Xenopus tropicalis: one gene and its partner. The protein of the gene in region 1 interacts with the protein of each later gene in a biochemical or structural test. Links are inferred from orthologs where the notes say so. Each region holds a gene or a part of one and is shown in the gene's direction. Other genes may lie near its edges.

Region 1 (4,506 bases):
CTTGCCATAAGTCTATAGAAAAATCTCCATTTCAGTTGTTCTCAAACCATTGTTAGCCCTGCAGACATATCCCCTATCTCCAGCACCGCCACAAGTGAATGGGTTTCTCACTTCTGCATAGAGTATGTTCCTGAGCGAACTGTGACTGTGTCCCAGGCAGTACTGACCCATGGGTTCTAGCACATACTATGTATAAGGTGATAATCGCTGCCCTTTGTGTCTTTACCCATTGAGACCAATGCAGAAAAAATAGATCAAGACCCATTATTTCTATGTTGAGTGGAGGTTCTAGCCAAAATAAAATGTTAGTATATGCAGCGTCAGACTCTCAAAACTTTAATTCCTCCTCTTCTCCCTCAAACTCTTTATTATCCTAGTCTGTTCTGCCCCCAATAAGGGGTAATTATATCTCAGTTGGGATCAAGTACAGGTACTGTTTTATTATTACAGAGAAAAGGGAATCATTTAACCATTAAATAAACCCAATAGGGCTGTTCTGCCCCCAATAAGGGGTAATTATATCTCAGTTGGGATCAAGTACAGGTACTGTTTTATTATTACAGAGAAAAGGGAATCATTTAACCATTAAATAAACCCAATAGGGCTGTTCTGCCCCCAATAAGGGGTAATTATATCTTAGTTGGGATCAAGTACAGGTACTGTTTTATTATTACAGAGAAAAGGGAATCATTTAACCATTAAATAAACCCAATAGGGCTGTTCTGCCCCCAATAAGGGGTAATTATATCTTAGTTGGGATCAAGTACAGGTACTGTTTTATTATTACAGGGAAAAGGGAATCATTTAACCATTAAATAAACCCAATAGGGCTGTTCTGCCCCCAATAAGGATTAATTATATCTTAGTTGGGATTAAGTACAGGTACTGTTTTATTATTACAAAAAAGTAATACATTTTAAAAATCTGAATTATTTGATTAAAATGGAGTCTATACAGGCTTTCTGTAATTCGGAGCTTTGTGGATTATGGGTTTACGGATAAGGGATCCCATACCTGTTCTGTTTTATTATTACAGAGAAAAAAGAAATCATTTTTAAACGTGAATTATTTGAGTCTATGGGAGATGGCTATCCTGCAATTCAGAACTTTCGGGTTTCCGGAGAATGGATCCCATTCCTGTGCTGCCATTTTCTTTAACGTTGCTCTTTCACGTGACATTATTATTAACATTCATTTATAAAGCGCCAACATATTCCGCAGCGCTGTACAATAAGTGGGTTACATACATTGGACATACAGAGTAACATATAAAGCAATCAATATCCGATACAAGAGGTGAAGAGGGCCCTGCCCAAAAGAGCTTACAATCTACAAATGAATGGTTCCCAATTTCCTGCTTCTTTCCCTACATTCATTTGCTGCATTGAGAAAATAAAGAAGAAGGAGGTAAAAAAAAGCTGATAACTGACAAGGACAAAAATGCTGCCTGAAGCCTGTCCCGGGCTGCTAGTTGTTATGCAGAATAGCCATGCTTGATTGAGGTCAAGCATGCAGCCACTTTGTAAAATGATCCCTTTCCTGGCCAAGCCACCAGCAGCAGCAGCCATGCTCAGCGTAGCATACGGGTAGCACTCCTATATACACACACATTCCTGTCAAGTCATCCTGCAGGCTGCTTCCAGCTTGGCTTGAATGTGCAGTCTTAATAAAACTCACTGGGCTCTGGGAGAAAATAGCAGTTCTCCAGCAGTGAGTGGAGAGGAGAGGGACCAGGCTATGCATGTGCAGTGGACTGGCTAATCTCTGGGCGGCCAATGAGAGCCAAACAATAGAGCCTGCCATGCACTAAGTCTATCTATTGGGGCTACAAAGAGACATATCCCAGAGGGGTGAAATAAAACTGGGCACTCACTTCCCAGACTTTTTTTCTCCCAATTTCACCTGATTTTTGTTTTTTCATCATTCCATAAGGATTTTTATTTTGCATCAGATATGGTATATGTGGCTTTTATCCTATGGTGGGCTGCTGCCCTGATGGCTAACGTTGGATGTAGCATGCAGAAGAAAGGCACAGACAGCAATGGGAGAAGATACAGCCGGATCCAGCATGGCCAGTGCACCTACACATTCATTCTGCCTGAGCAAGAGGCCAACTGCAAGGAGGGCAGCAGCAGCAGCAGCACCACGGAGCAGTACAACAGCAATGCTCTGCAGAGGGATGCTCCGCAAATGGATCAGGATTTCTCTTCCCAGAAACTCCAGCATCTGGAACTGGTGATGGAAAATTACACTCAGTGGCTGCAGAAAGTAAGTGCCGGGTTGCTTTGCTGTTACAAATGTTATGGAAGCCTCGGACATGGGACCACTGAGAGTTCTTTATGTATTTTTTATAGGGGTTGAGGGAGTGGGGGGGTCAGCATATTTTATTTTTATTGTTCATGGTTAACCCCAAGTATTTAGAAGTGATTGTTGCATGTATGTACTGTAAATGTACAGTAACGGAACTAGATAGCATGGTGCCTGATAGCTCAGCACTTGGTACCATAACTAGTTAATATGCAGCATGTGGTTGTATGGAAGGCAATACAGAACTGACAGTTGTAAGGGTAGGTATATACTGTATGTACAGTAATGTGTAATGTAAATAAAGTGCTTTGTTTTATGGCCCTGCCTTGGTACAGTTACAAGGGTATCTAACCCTGGGGGTGGGCAGCTTGGTAAAACTTCTGCAGGGCAGTCTGAGTCAATGGCAACTGCATGTACAGTCTGTGCTAATTAAAGCCAGAAAGTGCACTGTGAGTCTGCATAGGGGGTTACTTTGTACCTTAGTCTGGGGGCTGGGCAACTAGGGGGTATTTGCTAGGCTGGCACAGTTGCTTAGTTGGTAGGACACATGCCCTGGCCTGTAGCACCGGGGTGCTGGGTTTGAGTTTGACTTGGGCACTGTCTGCCAGGAGTTTGTATGTGTCTATGTGGGTTTCTTCTTAGTCCTCCTGTTTCCCCTAAGGCAGATAGGTTATCTGACTCCTGGTGTAGATTGTAAGCTCCACTGGAGCAGGGGCTGCTGTAAGTGATAAACAGTCTATAGAAAGCGCTGTGTACATGCCAGAGCTATATAAATAAAGGATAATAAATCAAGAGTCGCCGCATGTACATTGCACTGAGACAGCTAGGGGTTACTTTCTATCTCCTCCTGGGAGTAAAAAAAACAGCATGTCATTATTTCCTATGTGAAATGCTTTTAAATCTCCCAAACTAGAAGAGAACTGTAATCAGGAGCAACTTTATTAGCCTGTATGTCTAATGTCTATTCAGAAGGCAGCGCTTTATAGTTCAATTAGCAGCGACCATGTATCTTGCCCTGGAGGGGAGACTTCATCTCATTATTTCGTATGCAAAACCTGAACAGACAGAGAACGTAATTGCAATCAGCGTGGCAGCTCATGTACTTGGTATAAAGTTTCTCTGCTGAGGGATACAGGGTTATCTTGTTCTCATTGGGATTTTAGAAAGACTAGGGCAATGGCTCCCAGTGTACAGAGAGATTATTATAACATCTATTTGCAGATAGCTATGCAGGGGTAAATGTCACTGGGCATACCTGGCTAATATAATCAGTGACTGATCTAACCTTTCAAGGAACGTTCTTTATTAACCGTTTGGGAAGTGTCTTTAAATCACTCGAAGGCATTCCTTGCCTTGGAAGCACTAGGCAGCAGGAATGAGAGGGTTTAACCCTGTGTGACAATGTGCTTCTGTATTTAGAATTTATACCCAGATCCCACAGCAGAGCTTCATATATTACCTAAAGACATAAACTTGCAACACAATGGGATTAAAGGCAAACCTGCAACTCTCCAGCTGCTGTTCTACTACAATTCCCAGGATTCCCTGCTGGCAGTTGTAGATGAACAACAGCTACAGGATAGACAGTTCTAATATAAGGTGGTACAGGTATGGGATCCCTTATGTGGAAACCCGTTATGCAGAAAGCTCCGAATTACGGAAAGCTTGTCTCCCATAGATTCATTTTAATCAAATAATTCAGAATTTTAAAACTGATTTCCTTGTACCTTGTAATTGATCCCATCTAAGATCCCATCTAAATAATCCTTATTGGATGCTAAACAATCCTATTGGGTTTAATTAATGTTTTATTGATCTTTTAGTAGACTTAAGGTATGGAGATCCAAATTACGGAAATACCCCTTATCCGCAATACCCTTGGTACCAAGCATTCTGGATAACGGGTCCTATACCTGTACTGACACATACTTGTCTTGCTGTGTATGGCAAAGCTAGAACTATACACATTATTAATAGATGCAACACAATAGAGATTAAAGGCTAAGCTATAAGACAGAGGGTTCATTCACTGCTGGTAAGTGGCTTTTGCAATGTTTCCGGAGTATAATATTTGGAATGCCAAGGTCTGAAAATTTCTTGGAAGTCCATCCTAAAATATGTTTCATAATCTGCTTTCATTTGTTTGTTGCTGTTATGTCTCAGTTATTGGGTTCTACTGACTTGGCATATTTTGTTTGT
Region 2 (3,823 bases), on another chromosome or scaffold:
GCCGCACATGTAGAGTCCCCTAATAGCAAACAATAATCCATATTGGGGAATGCACACTCCTAAAAACTAAATGTTTATTAAGTTACAAAATCAATGTGGGTTTAATTATGTTTTGATTTTGTAACTTAATAAACAGTTTGTGTTTAAGAGTGTGCATTTCTCTATGTGGATTATTGTTTGCCATATAAATAGTTAAAATAAATAATTAATGTGCTAATAAGTCAGTCAGTTCATTGGGGGCAGTGGAATTTACTTTAAGTTTTTTAGTTCATTGGTGGTGAGTGGAGTTTGCCTGCCCCTGTCAAGCTTTCTGCATTGTCTTTTGGTACACACATTAAGTCAATTTTTAGGCAAGTTATGTCAGTTTCCTAAGTTTTGTGGAAGTTATGTAAATTGTGTAAGTTTTACCATAACCTTGGGGGCAAGGGCACATAAGGGGCAGATTTATCAAAGTGTGACAATTTAGCTTAACCACAGAAAAACTTTCTATTTATTCCTATGGAATTTTAAGAAGCTAGAAGCATATTTATCATGGGTTTTGCTCACCACAGAAAAAACATCCACTTTCTGTAGTTCATAATTTGTATTGCATTTATATGTTTTTGGTTTTTTTTGCAGCCTGCAGAGAAGGAAACTTTGGCAGAAACTGCCAGGAGACATGCAAAGGGGAGCAGGGCTGCAAAGGGCTTACTTTTTGTCTTCCAGATCCATATGGGTGCTCCTGTGGCAGTGGCTGGACAGGTTCACATTGCCAGATACGTAAGAAATATTTATGTTTAAGTTACTTGTCCATAATTTATTTCAGACTTCTTTCTTGTTTTATGGCCACATTTACATGCAAGGTGTAACTATATGGCCTCAAAACTGTAACAAATAAGCTCCAGTTCAGTGACCTATAGCAACATAGCAGCAATTAGCATAAAAGAGCCGAGTCTGATAAAGACACTACTTATTAGAGCTTATTTATTCTTTTATCACAGGTAGTGGGTCATTTGCTGCAGCTTCAGTTCAATTCTGTACAAAGAATGTATGTGGGCCCCTTCCTGCAACATGTGCAGACTTTATGCCTTGTGTTGGACAGGGAAAGACACAAAGTGCAGTGCTGATAGGAGAGACAGTTAACACTATCAATAGGGAAAAGGGTGAAAAACATAGGTGGGCTGGTATTTTTTTCCAAGGTGGTAACACTACTTGTAAATCATGGAGGGGTGCATGGGGAGCCCACATCTACATGTCAGCACTTTGATATACTCACATATATAAAAGTTTCCCTATCTGGCCAAGGTTTCCACACCACAGGTGCTGGGAGTTGCATCACACACACAATTTTTATTTAACTTTTGTACAAACTTGCACAGACAAACAGTTCACATTCTTCAATCAGGGAAGCATCCATATCCACAGAACATATACATTTTTATTCAAACTGGTTCAGTTGTACACAGATTACAACTAGTGGACTCTCACACTCCCTTTTCAAAGGACTTAACCAGAGATCTAGCATCACCTGTGTTCTTACCAATTTGTTCTAAATCTAGCATTAGCCTCCTAGCTTCCTTCTTTAGATGTTCCCATTGGCCAAAGACAGTCACACCTGTTCCTGTACCCTAGTTGGGGTTGTTCACCATTAAATCCACTTTTAGTATGATGTAGATTAGTGCTGTCCAACTTCTGTGGTGCCAAGGGCCGGAATTTTTATGGCCCACATGGCGGAAGGCCGATAATGGAAGCCAGTTTTCACCACTGCCCATTCTGAACCCGCACCCACTTAAACCACACCCATGTTATCACAAGAGCTTTTAAGACCATGCCCACATTAAAGTGATACTGACACTAAAAAAACACTTTTTAAAATATGAATCTACATAAAAAGCTACCTATAGGTCATGTTGATCATTTTTTGCTGATATGGCTGCTTTTGTGGGTAATTGTTACTTGAAATCCCAAAACCTGACTGTTTTGCCAGTCTGACTGTCCCTTCTCAGCCTGTCCGTTATAGCTTCTAATGCTAACGGCCTACTGCTGCACAGATATGGCCGCCCCCTCATAGAGGAACATGGGGGATCAGAGAAGTAATGTAAAAGCTTGGACAAATACTTTTATGGCAAAATTATAAATAGCATGCAAAGACAATGTTATGACAGATGTAAAAAAGGTTTCATTTCTGGTGTCAGTATCTCTTTAATGGTGGTAGCGCAGGAAAAACCCAAATGGTTGGTGCTCACTTTAGGGATATCACCCTTCATTTATATGTAAAAGAATTATATTATGTCATACCCTTAGGCTGATGCCACACCAGGCGTAGGGCTGATTTTTTCGGCAAGCGGAAAAACGCTTGCCGAAAATTCAGCCCTACGCCTGCTACTTGTGCCTGCACCCGAATGAATGGGATATGCTCGGGTGCAGGCACATGTAGCCGATATACGCACGAAAACGCGTGAGAATGCAAAGTCTCGTGTTTTCTTGCGTATATCGGCTACATGTGCCTGCACCCGAGCGTATCCCATTCATTCGGGTGCAGGCACAAGTAGCAGGCGTAGGGCTGAATTTTCGGCAAGCGTTTTTCCGCTTGCCGAAAAAATCAGCCCTACGCCTGGTGTGGCATCAGCCTTAAATCCATAGATATGGTTAGGGTCGGGTGCGGGTCGATGATTTCTCAACCCGTACATCACTACTATGGTTGGCTCGGGCTGGTACAGAACCTCAAAACATAGGGGCAGATTTATCAAAATGTGAGATTAGAGTTTACCACAGAAAATCTTACCCAATTTCTTTGCATACCTATGAGATTTTCAGAAGCGCATCCAATAGGAATAAGTACAAAGTGGGTTATTTTTTTCTGTGGTGAGCTCTAATCTCACATTTAGGGGCTGATTTACTAAGACACGATTTGGAATCCGAATTGGAAAAATTCCGATTGGAAACGAACATTTTGCGACTTTTTCGTATTTTTTGCGATTTTTTCGGCGTCTTTACGATTTTTGCGTAAAAACGCGAGTTTTTCGTAGCCATTACGAAAGTTGCGCAAAGTCGCGATTTTTCCGTAGCGTTAACACTTGCGCGCAAAGTCGCGCCTTTTTCGTAGCGTTAAAACTTAAAAGACGCGACGTTTCGCGCAAGTTTTAACGCTACGAAAAAATTACTTTCGTAATGGCTACGAAAAACTCGTGTTTTTACGCAAAAATCGTAAAGACGCCGAAAAACTCGCGTTTTTACGCAAAAATCGTAAAGACGACGAAAAAATTGCAAAATTACCGATCATTACGAAAAAAACGCAATCGGACGCATTCGGCCCGTTCGTGGGTTAGTAAATGTGCCCCTTAGCATTTAGCACGTTTAGCATTTCTAGCCTACTTCTTTGTTAAACTTTAGTTTTCCTTTAAGTGCCTGAACAATAATTAGTGAAGAAGTTATTTCATTTAATCCTTGAAAGGTTATGGTGACTTTTTATTCTGCCTGCTTAGAGAACCTAGTAATTATATGATGGTATCTTTACCCTTCCTGTAAAAAACAACCACTTACTTGTGTTTAGTCTGTATAGGGCCTTTTTTGAAATCTTTAGTTAAAGTTGGACATGGGTGAATCTACTTCAGTCACCAATGTGATGACCATTAAGCAGTGATTATGCATGAATCAAAAAAATATATTGACTGTAGGTTACAAATAAAATAACAGGCAAATGCTAAACTAGGTAGGATTTGATAACTCAGAACATCCTAAGTGTTTTATATGCAAAAACAGTGGCCTCCAATTAAAGCTCACTGAACTCAGCTGAAGGGAGTTTTTAAAGGGTTGCTGTTCACAAAAGAAAGCAATTATCTTA

What was found.
Region 2: the proteins of angpt1 (region 1) and tie1 interact in a biophysical measurement, tested with the Homo sapiens proteins (2 studies listed by BioGRID and IntAct, with this or other methods). The link is inferred for Xenopus tropicalis from reciprocal best matches to the Homo sapiens genes ANGPT1 and TIE1.

The regions. Positions count from the first base shown.
Region 1 is NC_030682.2:133,372,224-133,376,729, reverse strand, and holds the start of angpt1 (angiopoietin-1), read left to right. Parts: upstream 1-1,542; 5' UTR 1,543-1,953; coding exon 1,954-2,268; intron 2,269-4,506. UniProt on the Homo sapiens protein: Binds and activates TEK/TIE2 receptor by inducing its dimerization and tyrosine phosphorylation.
Region 2 is NC_030680.2:88,395,952-88,399,774, forward strand, and holds part of tie1 (tyrosine-protein kinase receptor Tie-1), read left to right. Parts: intron 1-618; coding exon 619-759; intron 760-3,823. UniProt on the Homo sapiens protein: Transmembrane tyrosine-protein kinase that may modulate TEK/TIE2 activity and contribute to the regulation of angiogenesis.